Regions from separate parts of the Mus musculus genome. Here all the other regions are reported to be linked to region 5. The links are microRNA targets in miRTarBase. Many come from high-throughput screens and were not tested one by one. Region 5 holds a microRNA gene; each other region holds the end of a gene's coding sequence.
Evidence for each region. Region 5 holds the annotated microRNA mmu-miR-665-3p (ACCAGGAGGCUGAGGUCCCU, at 1,150-1,169, opposite strand). A microRNA usually pairs through its seed, bases 2 to 8, with sites in the 3' UTR of a target mRNA and lowers its output. Matches are read on the target gene's strand: a 7mer-m8 pairs with bases 2 to 8, a 7mer-A1 pairs with bases 2 to 7 and ends in A, and an 8mer does both.

Region 1 (4,067 bases), not on the chromosome of region 5:
CCCATTGTCATGGCTTAGAAAAGTAGCAGCTTTGAAATGCCCAGTGGAGGGTCCATGAGCACAGACACCTCATTGCAATATAGTACTATGTCGTGAGATCGCTAGTTTTTCTTTATTAAAAAAAATGTGTTCTCTAAAACCTTTCCTCAGAGAGACCCTCCGAGAAGTGCTGCATTTACTGAGAAGCACAGGAAACACCCAAGTGGAGTATATCATCAGGATCATGAAGAAGTGGGCCAAGGAGAATAGAGTGCCCATCTAAGCAGCCAAACCCTAGGCCAGGACCAGCTTCCTCTCACGTCAAATTGGAACTGTTTTCTTGCACTTGAATATGCAATCCAGGACCCTGCTTGATTGACATTTCTTTCCTTGCTCTTAGAGCATTAGGATGAGTGGGTGGTATGTGTGGACTTAGGCATCAGGCAACAGGAATCTCCCTGGCCTGCTGACACCCAATGTAATCTACTGGTGCCTTTCTTCCATAATCATTCTGAACACTATTCTGTAATTTACTGGCTTTAGGAATAGATACTAGTTTTGTTTTTCTTTCTCTGTTAGCATTTCAGGACATATCTTTTTTCTTCTTCTTTTTTTTTTTTTTCTGAGACAGGGTTTCTCTGTATAAGCCCTGCCTGTCCTGGAACTCACTTTGTAGACCAGGCTGGCCTCGAACTCAGAAATCCACCTGCCTCTGCCTCCTGAGTGCTGGGATTAAAGGCGTGTGCCACCATGCCCGGCAGGACATTTTCTCCTACCTGCAGTAACAAGTACCTTTATACTAGAGAATTGCCATCATTTGATCATATTCCATCATTTTGTACATTAGCCCATCCATGACTACATCTCTGACTCCTGGGAGACGTCTTTCTGAGCTGTGTGATTCTGAGGATGGCCATGAGGCCCTCTACCAAACAGCAGTCAGTAGTAGTTAGTTAGCTTATGAGACCACTCTCTGTGAGTAGCTTGTTACGTTGAGACAAGCTGAGTATATGGTTTTAAAAAGGTGAGTGAAAGGAAAAACTTGGCATCTCTGAAGGTGTGTAAGTCTCAGAGTTAGGTCTCCCTTGTATTTTAGGAAACAAAGCCAGGGCAGGGTTCTTACTATCTTCTGAATGAACAGCAATTTTGAACATAGGACTGGGAAAGTTTTCATGAAATATATATATATGTATATTTTTTCTGAGACAGGGTTTCTCTGTGTAGCCTTGGCTGTCATGGAACTCACTCTGTAGACTAGGCTGGCCTTGAACTCGGAGATCCGCCTGCCTCTGCCTCCCGAGTGCTCGTATCAAAGATGTGTGCACCACTGCTCAGCATACGTACCTGTTTATATTGCGCACACATGAACACATCGTAGGGATTTATTGATACAAGTATAAAGCAGGTCCTTTGAAGAGACCTCCTAATGGCTAGCCTCTCCATCATATCTCAGCCTCGTGTCTCTGAGCTGTCATCACATAAACTTCTTTTTTCTACAACAAAGTATTGTCAGGCTTCCATCCTACTTTCAGAAAACAGACATACATCTTTTTGTGTATCAGATTACCTGCTTGTTTGTATGCTCTGTAATTTTCTTCTGTAGGTCTGAGGTACACAAGCTAGAACATACAGACCCATCCTCATAGAGCAGGGACTGCACAGAGGAGGAGGTGGAGGAATTTTTAGAAACACCATTAATTCTTCTTCCTTCCCAGCCTCCTGCTGCAGATGGCAGATGGGAGTTCTGCACAGAAAGGAGAGGGAAACCTGTACAGAGTAAAACAGCTGAAGCAACAGGACCAGAGGCTGAACACAGCCTTCATCTCTAGCCAGTCCCAAGGTGTTCCTCAGCTCTGTATCTCTGAGTCCTGGGACAAGTCTTCCCGAGAAGATGGCCAGTGTGCCATCTTTTACATTAGGATCAGATATGATTGGGCCAAAGCACAAAACACAGTACTGGTCTAACAGAACTGCAGGAAACAAAACTGCACCATTTCCTTATGCCAGAGCTTCTTGTCTTGTTCTGGTGTTCCCTCTTTTTCAGTAGCACCTGGTTCTCTTTGCCAAAGGTACTAGGTGGATCAGATATGACTAAACCTGCTATAGTTCTGTGAATCATTCTTATGAAACTTATTTTGCTTTAAATACTTGGAAGCAAAAGAGTGGGATGCAGATCAACTCCTGGGAGCTGTTGACATCTTCAGTGACACACTGTTCAGTTCCAGCTTCCTGAAAGACACTCATTCACAGTCATGGACTTCCCAGTGAGACATTGTGAGTTTACTACTTAGTAGTCTCTGACATTTTCCTTGAGAGAAGACGGTCTGTCCCCAACAGCAGAATTTTAGATTACTGTTAAAAGTTTTTAATCTACAGGATTGAGACAGAAACATGAAGGCTTGTTAAAGAGAAGCACATTCAATTCTGTTAGGAGGGATAATTGTTTCTGATTGTCTTGACAGGGCATCAAGTTCGTACTGTGTTCTCTCACAGATGACAGCCTGGAAAAGAAGGGCTTGGCTGGGGAATGTGTAATTTATACAGTCTATCATAGCAATGTACTATTTAAAAATAGTCTGTAGTGTATACTTAAAAATGGAAAAAACACTTTTACAACTATTTTTGTACAACAAAAGAATCACATACCACTGTACTATATTTAAATTAAAATTTATTTTTTGGTTTTTGTCATGTGTGTTCATGTTTATGCAGCTGTGTTCACGTGTAGAGGTTAGAGGTCAAACTGAGTGTCTTATCTCTTTCCACCTTATATTTTATGAAACATGCCTGGAAAGTTAAGGTATATGCATATGCTAGATACCATGACTACACATTTGCCAAATCTAGTGGAATTATATTTAAAATAAGGGGCTTAGGAGCATTTAATACAGGTTTTGTTTGTTTATTTGGTTGGTTTTTCAAGACAGGATTTCTCTGTGTAGCCCTGGCTATCTTGGCGCTCAGACAGTAGACCTGGTTGACCTCGAACTCCTCTGACTTCTGCCTTTGCCTCCTGAGTGCTGGGATTAAAGCTGAGCACCACCCCCATGAGGCAGAACATAGTTATTTTTTTAAGCCTGGTAAGATGGCACCACAGATAAAGGTTCTTGCTCTAAAGCAGTGCTTCTCAACCTTCCTAATGCTGCAACCCTTTAATACAGTTCCTCGTGTTGTGCTGACCCCCAACCATTTTTTTTTTTTTGCTGCTACTTCTAATTTTGCTACTGTTATGAATCATAATGCAAAGATCTGTGTTTTCCAATAGTCTTAGATGACTCCTGTGAAAGGGTTGTTTGACCTCCAAAAGGGGTCAAAACTCACAGGTGGAGAAGCACTTTTGTAAAACCTGGTGGGTGTCCTGAGTTCAATCCCTGGAATTCAATGGAAGAAGGTAGGGGAGAACTGACTCTATAAAGCTGTGCTCTGACCTGCACATACACATGTGTACATATGGAGATACAGACAGCAATAATGTTTAAATAGTGAATAGAAAGTAAAAAGAAAAGACTTAGCTTCCAAGAGTATATGCTCCTGTGATGACTACTACTACTTAGGGAATAACATTAACATCGTGGATAAGATCCAAAGAAACTGAAAATTAAGGTCATTTTAACTTTACCTCATTGCACAACAATACAAAGCGTTTAAATTATCAGAAAAACCTATACAAAAATGAAGCAAGTAGACAATATGAAGGGGTTTTTGAAAGATGTATAGGAGAAAGCATGACAGACGAATGCCTCTGCTCAAACTTACCTCTTGTCCAAACCTGTATATGGGCTTATGTCATCCATTAAAGCAACGAGACTGATGGATTGGATCACAAAGTAAAATCCAAGGCTGGGCTGCTTGCTCTTACTGAGAACAAAGTAATTCGTGATCATTAAAGTGAGAAGACGAGTGGCAGTGCAACTGGGAAAATGCAAATAGAGAGAGAGCAGGTGCCATAATCAAACAAGGTTGGATTCAGGTCAAAGTCATTAAGCAGGCCACAGAGACACACTTGGAATGACAGAAGCTCTGTTTCCTGATGAACACAATGGTTATGAACATGCAACAAAGGAAAGGCACCAATATTCAAAAAGCAA
Region 2 (4,067 bases), not on the chromosome of region 5:
ACTACTTGGTGGCTCACAAATATCTGTACAGTTCCAGGGGATTTGGTGCCCTCTTCTGGATTACACAAGTACTGCAAGTACATAATTCATGCACATGTAGACAATCATACAAATAAAATAAAAACTAGAGGTTAAAAAAAATCACTGTATTTATTATTTTAAAATTATATGTACATGTGTGTAGGTTTGCACATGTGTGCATGCCTGTAGGCAGCTGCTCAGGCCAGAGATATCAGATCCCCTAGAGACGGTGTTACATGTGGTTATGCGTTGCCTAATGTGGTGCTGAGGAAAGATAGAATCCAGGTCACCTGCAAGAGCAGGATGTGCTCATAGCCACTGAGCTGTCATTTTAGCTTCAAACAAACCTTTAAGGAAAAACAGGTAAATATTGAAGGATGGGACTGGATGAGAAACCCCATCAGAAATTTTAGATAGACAGACATGGTACAGTTTACACTGGAGTCCGTATGCGGTGTCCATTCCTTCTCTTGTGGGCACTCAACAAACACATCCTCATTATAACACTGAAAAGTCAAGTGATCCCCCTGGGTCCCAGTGATCCTGGGGACAGGAAATATGAGGAAGTAAGCGAGTCTATACTTTAAAGTACTTATGAGTCTAGTATGTGAACTAAGAAATACATGGAAGCAAAATAAAAATCTAAGGAAATCCCAAGTAAGTTCTCCACTGCATTGCTTTCATGCACAGACAGGAATCAACATGAAACATGTCCACAGTCATGAAGCTGGCTGTCGAACTCCTTTCATCAGTTCATATTCTGGTGTAAAGATTGTCTTTGCAGGAAATTCAAGATAACCTCATGTCAAAACCACAAAGAAATGATCACAAATTTTCTATTTTGGAATGTGGATGGATACAATTTATTATATACAATATAATATATCTGTGCCTTCATATATATATATATGTATATATATATATATATATAGTTTTGATTTGTGCATTTGTGAAATCAAGGACATGGAATATAATGGAGTTTTATTGCCCTAGAGTTTGGAGATATTTTGAATGATGGGTAAGCTGTTTGTTTTAAATTGAGGTGATATGGGCGAATGGTCCCATGTGGTGATAAAAGTGGTGTCGGTCGGTTGGGACCCTTCAGGTGGCAAGGATGGACTAAGTGCTGCTGTAAGTACTCAGCATACCAGGGTGGGCAGTCACTCTACTGCTGCTACAGAGGAGCACCCCGACTTTCCTTGGGTCTAGAGGCTCATCATAGTGAGTCCTCCAGGCTGAGCATAGGCAGTAAAGGACAGACAGACAGACAGTGCAGAGTTTGCAGTTAGAACATTCTATGTGCATCACTTTCCTAGGACTCAGAGTCAACAAAAAAACCAAGGCCAAAAAAAGAAAGAGAAAAAGCTCTTGTTGAAACCATTAATGAAACCTTGTTATGAGAACAGTCATGACAGTCTGGACGCATGAGTCCTTCGTTCTGTTCACTTTCCAGCCTGGCTCAGGCCAGTCCCCAGTGCACGGTGTGTGTCTAGTCTAGACCACTGCTCCAAGACAAAGGAGCTCAGAGAACTGGAGAATTTTTTTGTCTAAAAACCCTCTTGGTCTGGGTGTGGTAATACATACTTTTCCAGCATTCAGGAAACAGAGGCAGAGGTAGAGGCAGGAAGGTCTCTGTGAGTTTGAGATCAGCCTGGTCTATACAGTGGGTTCCAGGACAGCCAAGGCTACTTAGTACAGCCCTGGGTCAAACATAAATAAATGAACAGATAGTTACAACCTCATAAGGATGAAGTTGTCACATCACACTTCCAGCCAACTGCAGACACATGCCAACTCTCTGCAATGGCAGCATCGTCTGGGTGTGCTGAGAGCCCACTTCCTGGATGAGGATTCTTCAGCCAACGGCCCCTGGGTGGCTGTAAAAGCAAACCAGTGTTTCTCGCTGCTGGGATCTGAAGTGTGGGTGCTTTTGCTGAGAACCACATGCTAAGAGTTGTCCACAACCCTGTAGGTCCTGATAGCTCTATCTTCAGTTTATGGGAGAAGTCAGCACAGACAGGGTTCTCAAAAGGTGACTGGCTCTGGCTCTTCTTTCCCTCCTTGGCTCTTTTGATAGTGTTCTCAGAGTTCCCTTGGGATAGCCTTGGAGGTAAGAGTGTGCCCAAGGTTTTCTGTGGCCGTATAAACACTGTGTCTTCCCTAGCCTGTCTTGACTCACCAGTCACACTGCCAACTTGATAGTGGCATCACTTGACCCGTGTCTGCCTATCTGGTCAAGTTCATACACCAACAAAACCATCACTATAAAATGGCCAGCACTCCTGTTCACTTCATGTGTCTGGTTGTCAGGTCCTTATATAGTCACCAACTATGAAACTCTATTTAAAAAATAGATAGCTCATGGCTGCTGTTAGCCTAAAATTTTAATATTTAAGAAAGAAACACTAAGGCTAGAAAAATTTAAAGAAATTAGACCAAGAAAACCCAATAGTAAATAAATAATTTTGATAAATTCTGTGAAATTGGTAGATTTTTCTATTTTTCATGAGCAATTGTTTCAAAATGGAAGGAAATATTTTGCTTTTCCAGTTGATGGACTGAGTTGATTTTAACTGGAAACTGTCCTTAGAGAGAGAGAGAGAGAGAGGGAGGGAGGGAGGGAGAGAGAGGAAACAGAGAAACAGAAACAGGGATAAAGACAGAGAGAGGGACAGACAGAGAGACAGACAGAGGGGGACTTTGTGTTTACAATGAACAAATGGTAAAGACAGGAATCACTGTGCATCACAAATGGGCTGGTGCTTTGATATGTTTGGGGACAGAATTTGTGATCAAATATTAGGAAGGACCCCATATTGGGACATACACTCCAGGACCACAGAGCAGAACTCTGAAATGAGGGCTGTTCTGGAAATTTTGCCCTTATGGGCTGCTGCTTTTCAAACAGTCTCTCCATTGCATTTGCTGTTGCTATATATGTTGTTAGATAGTTCGGGCTGGTTTTGAACTTACCATGTTAGCCCAGGTTGGCTCCAAATTTGAGCTCCTCCTGCCTTAGTCTCCTTGGTGCTAGGGTTACAGGTGTGTGTGATCCCCACTAGCCTTGTTCTTTCTGTCTTTCTCTGCCTGCCCCAGTTGTCTCACTTCCTCCCTCCTGATGTTCTAATCAAACTTCTCATGTCTCTGCTGGAGTGGAGTTGAAGGAGGAATGGGCACTTTGTGGGCCAGGTCCGTGGCTGCTGGTACAGAGTGAGGAAGAGTGCCCAGACATAAACCACCAGAGCCTTCAGGTGAATACAACTTCCAACACATGGTCATAGAACTGAAGTGAGCTGAGCTCTGATGTGACCCTGGTGCCCTTGGCAGATGGATCTTGTCCTCAAGACAGCTGGGCAGCCTGCAAAGGTTCATGGGACAATATAACCCACTGAGCTACAAGCTATGGGAAGAAGGCACTCCCATGTGGTCTCTCATTGTTGCTTGGAGAAGAAGACCTTGAAAGCACTGCTGTAGCTCCTGTTGAATGCTGTGTAGATGAGTGGGTTGAAGAAGGAATTAGAATAGCCCAACCACAGGAAGATGCTCTTCCAGATGGCAGGGACGTCCCAGGAACACAGGGGACTGATGAGCTCTGTGACGAAGAAAGGGAACCAGCAGAGCACAAACACTCCGATGAGGATGCCCACCATGAGGGCTGCCCTTTGCTCCTTCTGCTCCCTCCACGTATCCCCTTCTGTCTGGAAGGTGACGGTGGCATGGCGGACCGTGAACACCATCTGGGGATGTTGTGTAGCATTCTTCACCTGCAAGGCACAGACAGACACATTGTAAGGATATGCCACTTCACACTTGCCAGGTGGTGGCCAGACAGAACCCAGGTGTGGATGGGGGCCCCACAAACCATTCCAAAGGAAGTGTTGAGGCTTAGTTGGGGAATCCTGCACACTAGAGGGCATAGCAGTGAATGACAAGGCTGGGCTCTGCATCTTAGAAAGGAGAGGAAGCTACAGCACACAGAGTTCCATGCAAGTGAGTCCCTGTGGCTATCTGCTCTGCTGATGGCACAGCAAAAATAAATAGAATGT
Region 3 (4,067 bases), not on the chromosome of region 5:
ACCACATCAGAGACATCCATCACCGGGCAGAAGTCAATCTCGAAGATATGAGTGTAGAGCTAGGAGAGAAAAGGTGGGAACCAAGCAGGCCACTCGAGTGGGTATGATGTCACCAGGATGAAGCCCCACTGTCACCAACTGGAGAAACCTATCTGCAGGAGCAGCGCCATGAACAGGTGTGCCAAGTCAGCATTTTCACCCTTCTCTCAAGTTGCTTGCAGTCACATCAACAGATCATAATGGCAGAAATAAAGTGTTCCCTCACTCCGGTCTCCTCCAGTTACGGAGTCTGACCACCGCCAATGGGAAAGCTGAGAACCTTTCATCATGGAACACATTTGTGAAACGCATTGGCTTTAACAAACTGTTCCCCACACACACCTGGCCTGCATGGTCTCCTCTGACCAGCGCATGCTATATCATATTCAGAAAGTGCTTATAGGCTCCCACTTGCATGGAAAAACACCAGCAGCTGACAGAAAAATGAAACCCCATCTTGGCTCTGGAGAAATGATCCCATCAGGGAAACGCATAAGGCTATTTGATGAGATTTAATAAGCTCTAACGAAATCCAGGTGAGGGGCTCTATCTGGAAAACCCCAGAAGATTCTTATGAACAGCTCCAGGAAATCACTCAGGAAAGGAAACGGGATGCAAAACCTTGCACCACCACAGTAAAAGAGCAACCAGGATTCAAACTCCACGAATGGAGAGCTCTCGTATAATCCGGTCGGAAGATGCCTGGCTCCAGTATCCTGGTTTCTCTCATTTGTGCTTACTGAGTTTTATATAGTCACATAAAACCATATGTGTACATGTTAAATGAAAGTAGAAGGGAGAATGTATGATGCAGGGGGAGGGGGGAGAAAAGAAAGTAGAATATATATGCATACATATATATGTATGTATTCAAAATGCAATATAGAAACATATTCTATAGAAATAAAATCTCAAAAAGTCTTGAGGTTGAAAGACTTTCCATTTCCCTCCATCCCCTGACACCTCACACTTGGTCTTGGATGTAATCAACTTTAAAATACCTCTTCCCTTCTTTGAGACATGTTCTTGTGCTGTAGCTCAAGGTGGATGGAAACTAAAATCTTCTTTCTCCATCTCCTGACTGCTGAATTACAAATGAGTACCACCACACCTGGGCCAAAACATTACTTTTAATTCTACATCAAACACACACTTGCATACACACAATTGTAAACAAGAACATCACAGAGCCAACCCTAAACCTATCTAGTCTGTAATGTTCTGAAGGCGGGACACAAGGGACACCGTTCCTACAGTTTAAGAGAAGCAATTCCTCATCCAGTAAGACCTGCTATATTTTATGTGCAGAGGCAGAAATCCATGTCTGCCACTCAGGAGAGCATGCTTTGCCATGTGCAACTACTCAGTGACATATAGGCACGCTGTTTATAGAGCCCTAGTGTGCCCTTATTGGCTTTAAGTTTGAAACCCTAAGCCCCAGTATGTGTCTCTGCTAAGAATAGGGCTCTCCAAGCCTACAAATGTTGAGAGAGCCAGGAAGGGAACGGCTCCCACTGTGGGAAAACCCAAAAGATGGACCAAGGCCACAGCCTGAGCAAACAGAGCCACTGAAAATGCTCAAACCACCTGCAAGCTCTGTCATAGAGCCCAGGATCCCTGAGGACATTCTGTCCTAAGCTCCCAACACCTCGGACACAGGGCTGACCCCACTCAGAGGGGGTTACATGAAATAAAGTGCCCATATTAGGTCCTTCAAGGGAGGTTTTAAAAGTCTCTGGCTAACATCCAACTCAATTCTAAAATGAATCTTCAGTCTTGGGGAGGAATAAGCGAAGAGCTGCAGCTTTGTGGACTCTCATGGTTTTTCTATTCAAACTCCACTGCCAAACAGCTGTGAAATTAAACCAGCACTCCTTGATGGGCTTCCATGAAAGAGACCACCCCAGGGGCAGGGGCAGGAGGTGGGCCTCAGTGGTGAGAGCTTGCTTGCATATTAGAGAACATGGGTTCTATTCCCAACCCCTTGCATTGTATACAAATAAATGAAAGAAACACGCACTCGCGTGCACACACACACCCCAAAAACAATGATCACTCAAAGTCATCAACTTTGGGCCACTTTTTATCATAATATATTTGCCAATATCTAAGGGATAGATGGGCAGGGGGTAAATTTTCTGTTCACAATCCTTCAACAACATAGAGATGGCTGAGGGACAAGCACATTGGTAGACAGCAAATGCCGCTTTCAGCCTCCCAGGCAAGTGGTTTTAAATACATAAACAATAAAGGTATGATTTCAGTAGATCTCTGTTTAAATCTATGCCGTCTCTTATTGCCCAACCCTCCTCCCATTTCCCACACAGAAATAACAAACCCAAGCGAAGAGTGCCACCACATCTTACAAACAGGTCACATGTGTACAAACAGGTCAATGGTACAGATGCAATCCTTTTCTATAAATACCTGGAGCAAATGGGAACTCTCTCATCCCTAAGGACCTATCCTTGCTCCTGCTCAGTTACTGCTCAGGTAACCATTCCTTAGCTGGACACTTGTGGGGTCTCCTGTGAGTACCAGAAGCCCGTCCAGGACTAGGTAGAAATCCTGCCACCTCCCCACAGAGAAGAGATGATAGGAAGATAGGACCTGGGGCTGACTAAGCTGTTTCTTCCCAAGAACTAGAGACTGTTTCTTGGCAATGGCCCAGAGGGGTGGTGGTGGCGCACGCCTTTAATCCCAGCACTTGGGAGGCAGAAGCAGGCGGATTTCTGAGTTCAAGGCCAGCCTGGTCTACAAAGTGAGTTCCAGGACAGCCAGGGCTATAAAGAGAAACCCTGTCTCGAAAAACCAAAAACAAAACAAAAAAAAAAAGAGAGAGTGTGAGGAAGTTAAAAAAACAAAAACAACCTCTGGGTACTTTGATAGGAAAAAAGAAAGAAAGCTTGATAATCAGTGGAACCCTGTCAAGCCAATATATCAAATTCACCAGAGGGAAACCATGAGCGCTCCCTGTAGGAAGATCATAACTTAGCACCAATTTCTTTTGACTCTGGAGTTTTTCCTTCTCCTTCCAGCCTGTGGAGGGACTGTGGGGCTCAGCTTAGCCTCATCAATACTTTTAATCAGTAACGAGTGTGAGGGGCACATGGTCACACGCCAGAGAGCGAATAGCAGCTCACACCAGAGAGGCAGCTTCCCTCGTGTGGATCATGCTGCCATGGGGGGAACGTGAGGGACCTCAGAGTCTCTTCCTGGCCACTCCGGGCCGCCGGCTTTACTCAAAGCGACGAAGGTGGTTGTAGAGCGACTGCACATAGGTGAAGACACACATGGGGTCCGGCTTGCGGCCCATCACCATCATATCCTCCACTTCAATGAGGCGCTCACAGTTGGCCAGATTCCTGAAACACAGAAGCCCCATCAACACATGGTCCTCGTGAATAACCAGTGCCACAACTGAGCTTCTATTAGCACTCTCCCCAAACTCAATTCGCCTTGAGTCTGTGGTGCTCAAGTGCACACCAGAAGGGAATTCAAGGTCTCCAAGAGAACCCTGGGAGCTGCTGAGTCCGTGGGGCGTTGCCCAGACTCCCACAGACACAAACCACGTAAGCAGTTCACACGGAAGTAAAGAGATGACACAAGTCAATATCTCGTGACAATTGGCAAGAACTGTGAAAGCAAATGTAAAATTGAGGCAAAATGATAACTTCACCCATCTGCTTCCTCTCACTGTATGCTTGGTTTTTATTTTATTTTATTGTTTGTTCTCTGTGTGAAGCCTTGTCTGTCCTGGTACTTGCTCTGTAGACCAGCCAGCTTCAAACTCACAGAGATGAACAGCCTCTGCCTCCCAGTGCTGGGATTAAAGGCATGTGCCACCACAGCCCAGCTAGTTTTGTGTTTTTGAGGTGGGAATTTGCTGTATAGCCCAGCATAGTCCTAAACTCATGATTCTCCTGACTTGGTCTCATAAAATGACGGGATTATGATCATGTACCTTCATGCCCAGCTCTGAAATATTTTTTAAACTTAAAATACAAACAAACAAACAAAACAGGAGA
Region 4 (4,067 bases), not on the chromosome of region 5:
ACTGTGACCATGAGAACGCCGCCTTTAAAGATGTGGCACTTGTCCTGACAGTCCTGCTGGAGGAGGAAACGTTAGAAGCAAGTGTAAGCCCCAGGGAAATAGAAGAAAAGGTGAGGGATTTACTCTGGGCTAAGTTCACCAACTCTGAGAGCCCCACCTCCTACAGCCACATGGACTCAGACAAACTGAGTGGGCTCTGGAGCCGCATCTCCCACCTGGTGCTGCCCGTCCAGCCCGTCAGGAACATAGAAGAGCGAGGCTGCCTTTTGTGAAGCCAGTCACAGAGGTGACATGGAAGGGCCATGTCTCAGGGCTCTGTCCCGCTAGGAGGTGACTGGCATGTGAGAGGAAACAGCTGGGAGGCCGTCACTGTGTTAGAAAAGAAGCTTTTTTTCTTTGACTTTTAAAAAATCTTTCTAGTCTGAACTTTGATAAAACTAACAATTGGCCTGATGTTTTTCTTTGTTTTTTAAAGCCAATCAGGGTTAAAATACAACATGATGTATTGTTTAAGTGTCCAGCACATCAGTAGAATAGAATTGTTTTGCACAGGAAGATCTGATTCTCCGGGGAACTGCAGCCCCACTGCTGCCTGCAAGGACTCTCACCAGCCTCTAGGGCAGTGCTTGGACCTGGACGAGGTGTCATGTAAATGATTTTAGAGAACTCTTCTACTACATATTAAGTGCTTTTTAATATTCACTTTTTTTTGTTGTTTTTTTCTGAGGCAGGGTTTCTCTGTGTAGCTCTGGCTGTCCTGGAACTCACTTTGTAGACCAGGCTGGCCTCGAACTCAGAAATCTGCCTGCCTCTGCCTCCTAAGTGCTGGGGTTAAAGGCGTGCAGCATCACTGCCTGGCCTTAATACTCACTTTAATAATACACTTGTGGGTTGATTGTGTCTTACACAGATTTGCACTTTGAGTAGGTGAAAACAGAAAACTAGAATTCAACCCTCCAAACCTACCTAAGAGCCTGGTGTGTGTGTGCTTCTGTTCCGTTAGTGAGCTGAGGCCAGAACAGCTGTGCTCAAAAAAGAACCTTCCCAAGCATTGGACTCAATGACGAAATTGTTAGTAATCACCAGAAATGAAAAAATCCCCCTTGGCCATGTCACTTGTCTTTGCCTACCCAGCAGCCCCTCCTTCCTGTGAATCATGCCTGCTCTTGGCTGCTGGGTTTGGGGTTCTCTGTTAGGATTTCAGTGGAGCTGAGTTTCACAGAGAAGTTTGAAAGCCATTGATGAAGTGAAAGTGCATTCTAGAGTAGGAAGGATAGGAAGACATGAAAGGGTTAAAGCTGAGGAGTAACAGGAAGTTCTGTTGTTCAGGGCGACAGAGACCTGCAGATGAGCTGCTACTGGAGGGTGTAGGGCAGGGCCGTGAGCTTTTGTCCCTTTCTGTGGATCTTTCCTGTCCTCCCCTGCTGGAATCTCACTGTTGTCTGTGTTCTTTCAGAAAAGACTTGAGGTCCTCAGCTAGTTAGAAATGCCGTCAGGAAAGGAACTTGATAAACACAAGGGGAAGGTCTCCTGTAGGGAACAGAAAGAGGAATCATGGCCAATATCCGTTGTTAAGCTACATCCCATGATTTCAGACTGGGGCCAATAAGCTGTTAATCAGTACGTGAACTCTGAAAGTAAAACTCTAGTAAAATGATCTTGACCCACAAAAGGTCTGTTCCTTTACATGGATGGGAAAAGCCCTTGGAATCTTGCACTCAGTTTTGGGTCATCTGCTGCTAAGAGATCATGTATACACTTAAGACATTAAGCAACCTGAGTCTAAAGGGATTTTAGGAAACACTAAGAAGATGTCTATTGGTAGTTAAATGGATCACAGAGACACGGGTGAGAGGTGATCTGAAAATATTTCCCACAAGATGGCTTTGGCCACAACCTTTGGTGTTAAGTAAGTTAAGTATGGGGGCACACATGAAACAGTATGTATTTGGGATTTTGAAGGAATCCTGATATAGATTTCAGAAAAGACCCTACACAAAGTTTAAGCATAGTGAATGGAATTTTTCTGTCAACTCATTGTAAAACACAGGGATTGAAGAAAAATCCATTTGCCATTTTTGAATTTTTTTTCTTCTGTATTTCTAGACTTATTTGTTTTGAATGCTAGTGGCTTGTCACATAGCCATGTCTGGCCTGGTGTTTACTCTGTAGCATAGGCTGACTTTGAACTTAGAGTAATTTCTCCTACCTCCGTGTGCTGAGTGCCGAGGCTACAGGTGTGTGCCATCATATCCAACTTTCATGTAAGCTCTTAGCCACTAGCATTACATCGCGTAAAACCACATCAAATCGCGTCAAAAGGTGCCTTGCAGACTGTCATGTTGGCCTTTGACCCATGCTACCTCAGACTCTAGAGGAATGTCTACAGTATTTGTGCACAGTCTATGTCAGTGGCTCAGATCACAAGTGGAAAGCAATCGTTTCCTCATTAAAACTATGTAAAACGACAGCCTTACATAGTTTCCTGTCAACACAAATTTAGGATATAATACATTTTAGAAATTTATTATTTTTCAATTATTTTTGGTTTTTTTACTACTTACCTTGTAAAAATACACTTTTCCTTTTGTCATAAGTGCAATCAGCTGAGTGAGACTTGTCAGTTGTTGTTGCTTTTTTTTTTTCTATCCTCTGTTTCAAAACTCAGGGCCTTAACATTCAAGGAAAGTGCCCTACCACTAACCTATATCCCAGACCTCTTAAAAGTCATTTTGAAAAGAAGCAGTATGTTAGTTTGGGGTCAGAACAAGTAATTTTCTGGTTTTGATACCGAGTCTCTACACAGTCCAAAGTAATGATTCTCAAGCCTCGGGCTCTTACAGGATGGGATTACGGTAGTGTGCCGCCACACCAGCCTATTATCCCGTGTACTGTCTTCTAGACCATTGCTTTTCATATTCAGTTTTCCAGCCTTTTATGTGTGTTGTAATTCTTTGTGATAATTTGCCTGTGTGTGTATGTTTTTTATTGGTGGTGGGGTTTTTTTTGTTTGTTTTTAACTAGGAATCCCTTCTTGAGTAATACCAAGTCTTAGAAGCAAGCAGGGGAAATAGAAACTGTCTTTAGACTTGGGTCTTTCTTTCCCTTTCAGGTAAAATTTAGGGTTCTTCTGGGCACCACTCAGAGATTGTCAGAAAAGCTCTAGAGAGTTCTTAACACTGAACTAATTTTAGTAACTTTTACCTGGAAGTCCGCAGGCTTAGGGGGAGTAGTGAGGCTCAGTACCCTTCCCATTGGCTTATGTGCCCCACCCCCACCCCCAATCACTGTGGCTGATGGTACAGCTTTGTCTCACAGCCTTTGGTCCACAGTCTTGTTAAAGACAGGAGCACTGTGAGCACGGATGTTGGCTATGACAGACAGATGCAGCCTGTGAACACGAGAGTAGTGCAGCAAAAATGATTTTCACCAACACTCTTACTTTCTCTAACAAAGATTTCTTAACCCCATAGAGTTTTGCCTTTATATATTTACAAATGTAATGGCTTGTCAAACTTACCAAATCACCATAACTGCTTTTTGCATTCATTTCCATAGTGATGATGTTGAATGTGCCTTATTCAAATCAATTGTCTGATTACTATACAATAAATCTCTTCAATTTTTCCTGACTGATTTTTTACTAAAATTTCCAAAATAAAGAATTTATGAAAATGGGTGTGCGGTTGTTAGTGGTGGGAAGAGTCAAAAGGATTCTGAAGCATCGGGTGGTGTTGCGGCTGTCAGGGACGAGGGGCCATGCAGGCGGTGTGCTGGACTCCTCCACCACCCTTGGCAGTGGCTGTGGGGCATTTACCCCCACCTGGCTCTCTCTTGACCAGGGGAAGAGTGAGCACAGCCTTGGGAGTGGTCCAAACATGAGGCTTGCTGACTGGGGATGTATTAAGTGTGGGTGGGGTGTCCAGCATCTTGTATGTTGGAAAGTAGGAAGGTGGTTTGTATTTAAAACTCGAATTTAGAGGCTCAAGAGATGGCTTAATAAAGTGCACAAACCTGAGGAGCAGAAATTGGATTCCTGCATCCGCATAACAAGTTGGGCTTCCTGC
Region 5 (4,067 bases):
CATTAACAGCAAAAGGAGGTGGTCCGGACTGTGAAGAGAGCTGGTGACGTGCTAAAACGTGCTAAAACGGTAGGTTATCAGGTTATCGGCGGAGCCACTTATAGAGATTGAAAAACACAACACAAACCTTTTTTTTTCTCCTGGGGAAGAGAAAAGAAAAGAAAGAAATTGGTGTGAAAGTTCCTGCTAGGGGATGATAACATCACTTCCAACCCTGTCAAGGTGAAAACCAGAGGCCAGGCCCTGGCTGCAGACTCCACCCACCAAGGAGCTGCCCCCACTTCCCAGCTTCAGTCCCCAACCAGAGAGCTCTGACAGCATCCAGGAACAAAGAGGAGCAGGGGCCCTCCCTTGCCCACCTTCCCTGTCCTCTCCATTGCTTCCCCTTATAAGATGTCCCTGCAGGTACCAGAGCCAGTGACAGCACACACACAGGACCCTGAGTCCAGAGTTTTACCAGCTCCTCACCAGGCTGGAGCAGAGATCTCCACATGCCTGGGTAACCTGGGCTAACTTGGGCTACCCCCATAGTAAGAAAAGGAAAAGAAAATATTACCCACCCCTCAACTGTCCCATACACCTTAAGCCCTGGTGCTGGGCCCAGGGGACCACATCGTTAGACACGATCTGAGACCTGAGCAGCAAACCTCATCTGGACTTTGATCCACCTGTGTGAGCTGAGAGACACGCATGACCATCTTGCCACCAAGACCGTGCAGGAGCACAAGTAGGAAGAAGGAGATTGGGGGCAGAGGGGGGGACAGGGAAGGGAGAGACAGTGGTGAAGGGGAGGGGGACTGGGTGTGGCCTGGGTCCTCCCTGTCCTGCCCTCAAATCCTTTCACAGCTTCCAGGCTATTCACTCAGGGTGCTCCTGTGTGCCGGGGCTGGCTGCCATAGCTGGTAAATGCAGTTAATAATGGTGGTGTTGTGGGGATGGAGATGGGCCCTGTATGCATGCAATGACCTAGGTATTGGGGTTCAGACTCTACGCCAGCTGCTCATTGTGCTACTGAAGTGTCTGTGGGCACCCGGCCTGGGAGGAGGATGAACAGGGATCTTCTGCACTCCTTAGGGGATCCAGAGTTTGAACTGAATGAGGTGAGACGTCTCCAGAAGGGCTCAAGGAGAGAGTAAGAGGCCGCCTGTAAGGGACCTCAGCCTCCTGGTCATAAAAACATAATCCTGGATAGAGGCAGAGGCCCCTCAAGGAGACCCTGTTCTGGGAGCACTGGTAATGCTCAGCCCTGCCCTGTCTCAGCCCTGTGCCCTGCTCTAGTAACAAAGACCCCATCTCTCAAGGATCCACCCTTTCTGCTAGGAGCTGGGTCCCCTCAGAGGACCTCCAGGAGAGAACGGCTCCTGGAATCCCAGTGGGAGGAGCCCCAGAGTAGGCCCAGGATCGACCTCTGACCTGTCTACCCTTGGCCACAGAGTCAGAGGGTGACCCTTGGCCCAGCCCCAGGGAATGTCCCACCAGGGGTATAGCTCCCCCGCCAAGGAATGATCTCAGGTATGGCCCAGCCCCGGGTATTCCCCTCCAGGAACTGTGGAGAATGGCGAGAAAGCATGCCAGGGGAAAAGAGCGAGCTGAAGACGCGTCCCTAAGCGGCCCAAGGTGCGCGGAGGAGGGTCCGGAGGCCTCACGCGGTTGAAGGGGGTGAAGAAAGGCATCATATAGGAGCTGAATGGCTGTGCAATCAACTCCTGCATGACGCCGTTCCCACCCCCCAACTTCTCACTACACTGGGACCCTCCTCTCCTGAAAAAGCAAGGCAAGAAGCACAGACAACAGGTAGGACAGACTCCCAGGGCTTAGTGTTAGAGGAAGGAAACCAAAGGCCAGCCAGCCCTAGGGCACCTGCAGCACAGTGGAAGCATCTACCCTCCTTGCCCAACCTCACTTCTTATAAACTCTCATGGAGTGACTGGAGCCAATCCAGGGGATGAGGAGGGGGGAGAGGGAGCAGAGGGATGGGAGGGAGAGAGGAGGGGCAAGGGAGCACTGAAGGAGGGGTGGGGAAGCGGAGAGGGAAGGAAGGGTGACTGTGGTCACAGGAGTGTCCTGCTAAGGTCCATCCCGAGTATCCAGTGGGTTCCTCTGCAGACCTAGAAGGGACTCATGGGAACCAGCAGGAGCTTAGACGCCCCAGATGGATCCCCCAAAAAGATGCATGGGTTAAAAGCTACTCAGTGTGGTGAGGGGACAAACTGCAGGTACAGCTAACAACCGCTCCCCAGGTTCTTTGAGTGTCAACTTGAGTTACACTCCTCCATGAATAACTAAAAACCACAAACTGCTTTTGCTTGCCTGTTAGTTTTTTTGTTTGTTTGTTTGTTTTTGAAACAGGATCTGTGTAATCCAGAGTGGATCCCGACTTCTCCATCTTCCTGCCTCAGGCTTCCAAGTGTGGCTATGATTGACAGGCCTCTGTCACCATGGCCAGCTTGAATGGCACATGTGTATCACCTTACATATGAATAAAGTAAAAAAAAAAAATCTTTCCTGACTTGTGCTCTTCTCTTCCTTGTCTGGCACACCCACCAACTGCCAACAAACACTTGTCCCAGCATAGTCTCAGAGAGCAGGGTATAAAGAGGTAGTATGGGGGTGGGAGGGAGTAGTAAGGATGGGAGGCCAGAAGACAGGTGAACACAGGTGGGGAAGGGAGGACTCGGTGTTAAGCCAGGGAGGAAGGGAGCTGCACACGACATGTGAATGACAAAGGGTTAAGGCAGCTCAATGCTGTGGTAAGATGCTGCAGATGTCAGTGGGGCAGGGGAGAGAGAGAAGGGGGGCTCAGGGCAGCATGTGGAACACAGCTGCACATCATCCAGGGCAGAAGAGGGTTGCAAAGGGACATGTATGTGTATGGGAGCATAGGGACATGGCTCACGGGAAGCAGGAGGGTCTCAGGGTGACGTATGTCACAAGGGAGAGATGAAGGATATGATATCCCACGCAAAGAGGGGGTCTTCATGTCATAAAGAAAAGAACAGGGACATCCCATGATGCCTACCTACACAGGGGGGTGTCAGTAACATATGGAGAGATTAAGGGATTAAATCTAGCGGATGGGGAGTGGTCCAAGGCTATACATGGGGGAGAGAATCCATGGTACAGGGGAGAAAAAATGTAAATGTGATGTGCAGAGGAGGGGTAACATGACACATAAAAAGAGGAGGGGCTCAGTATGACTCTTGTACAGGAGAGCCTATGACTCCTGAGAAAGAGACTGGGCTGCATGTGGGACATAAGGAGGAGGGGCTCTGATAGAGGAAATAGGGGCTCGGTGTGACATCTGTCAAGGAAAGTGTTCATCACAAGTGGGGAGAAGGACTAGATGTGACACCTATGAGTTGCTTTGTGACCTGGAGGACATGCACGTCACAGTGTGGTATGTGTAGAGGCAGAGCGCTCCATGTCACAAGGCAAGGGGTGGATGTCTCAACGTGCTGCGTGCAGAGGTGGGGCTTCCCAACATGAAGAGAGAGCGAGAGGAGAAGAGTTCCGTGTACCGCATCTGGAGCACCAGCAGGGTTTGTGGTGACTAAAAGGAACGAGGGCTATGGGACACATGATTTAGGGGCCCTCTCACGATGGAGGAGCTCAGAGTCAGGGAGGGGCCTAAGGTGAATGGGGAGTAAGTGGGATGAAGCTCGGGTGCACAGGGCACACGGGTGGGGCTAGGCTAAGCATGACACACGTGGGGAGAGGTGTTCTCTCTCTAGGACACATGGGTAGAACTCAGGTGACCACGACAGGTGTGAGAGGGGGCATACAGAACGTAGGAAGGGTTAGGCTAAGCATGACACATGTAGAGGAATGGTGCTCTTCAGGACATATGGGTGGAGCTAGGCAAAGCGTGCCCCATTATGGAATTTTCTCTTTAAGACACATGGCTGACAATAGCCTAACCCTAACACAGGATGACAAGAGGAGAGGACTCAGTGTGAGGCCAGCAATAAGACATAAGAAATGTTAACACATGAACACAGAGGGTCTTGGAAGTGCAGCCTGATGGGAGGGGTCTGTCCAAGACAAAGCAGGTGTAGTGGGAAACCATG

Region 1: the mRNA of Ttc26 is a reported target of mmu-miR-665-3p. Seed matches in the 3' UTR shown: 7mer-A1 at 636-642, 7mer-m8 at 850-856 and 7mer-m8 at 2,158-2,164.
Region 2: the mRNA of Htr5a is a reported target of mmu-miR-665-3p. Seed matches in the 3' UTR shown: 7mer-A1 at 2,851-2,857 and 7mer-A1 at 1,691-1,697.
Region 3: miRTarBase lists Smtnl2 as a target of mmu-miR-665-3p. Seed matches in the 3' UTR shown: 7mer-A1 at 2,807-2,813 and 7mer-A1 at 2,588-2,594.
Region 4: miRTarBase lists Tor1aip2 as a target of mmu-miR-665-3p. Seed matches in the 3' UTR shown: 7mer-A1 at 756-762.

The regions. Positions count from the first base shown.
Region 1 is chr6:38,424,978-38,429,044 of GRCm38, forward strand. It overlaps Ttc26 (tetratricopeptide repeat domain 26), which reads left to right. Exons shown (of 18, transcript NM_153600.2): 18 at 151-2,670. The coding sequence ends at 262. Among named protein-coding and RNA genes, the nearest start is that of Ubn2, 6.9 kb to the right of the region's middle.
Region 2 is chr5:27,850,472-27,854,538 of GRCm38, reverse strand. Htr5a (5-hydroxytryptamine (serotonin) receptor 5A) reads right to left here. Exons shown (of 2, transcript NM_008314.2): 2 at 1-3,785. The coding sequence ends at 3,453. Among named protein-coding and RNA genes, the nearest start is that of Htr5a, 11 kb to the right of the region's middle.
Region 3 is chr11:72,388,010-72,392,076 of GRCm38, forward strand. Smtnl2 (smoothelin-like 2) reads right to left here. Exons shown (of 8, transcript NM_177776.3): 8 at 2,105-3,404. The coding sequence ends at 3,278. Mir6338 (microRNA 6338) reads left to right here and starts at 747; the gene lies at 747-855.
Region 4 is chr1:156,065,187-156,069,253 of GRCm38, forward strand. Tor1aip2 (torsin A interacting protein 2) reads left to right here. Exons shown (of 7, transcript NM_172843.4): 7 at 1-3,675. The coding sequence ends at 272. Among named protein-coding and RNA genes, the nearest start is that of Tor1aip1, 31 kb to the left of the region's middle.
Region 5 is chr12:109,583,470-109,587,536 of GRCm38, reverse strand. It overlaps Mir665 (microRNA 665), which reads right to left and starts at 1,223; the gene lies at 1,130-1,223. Mir337 (microRNA 337) reads right to left here and starts at 1,748; the gene lies at 1,652-1,748. It overlaps Mir3544 (microRNA 3544), which reads left to right and starts at 1,664; the gene lies at 1,664-1,724. Mir540 (microRNA 540) reads right to left here and starts at 1,457; the gene lies at 1,391-1,457. It also overlaps a transcript of Rtl1 not described here.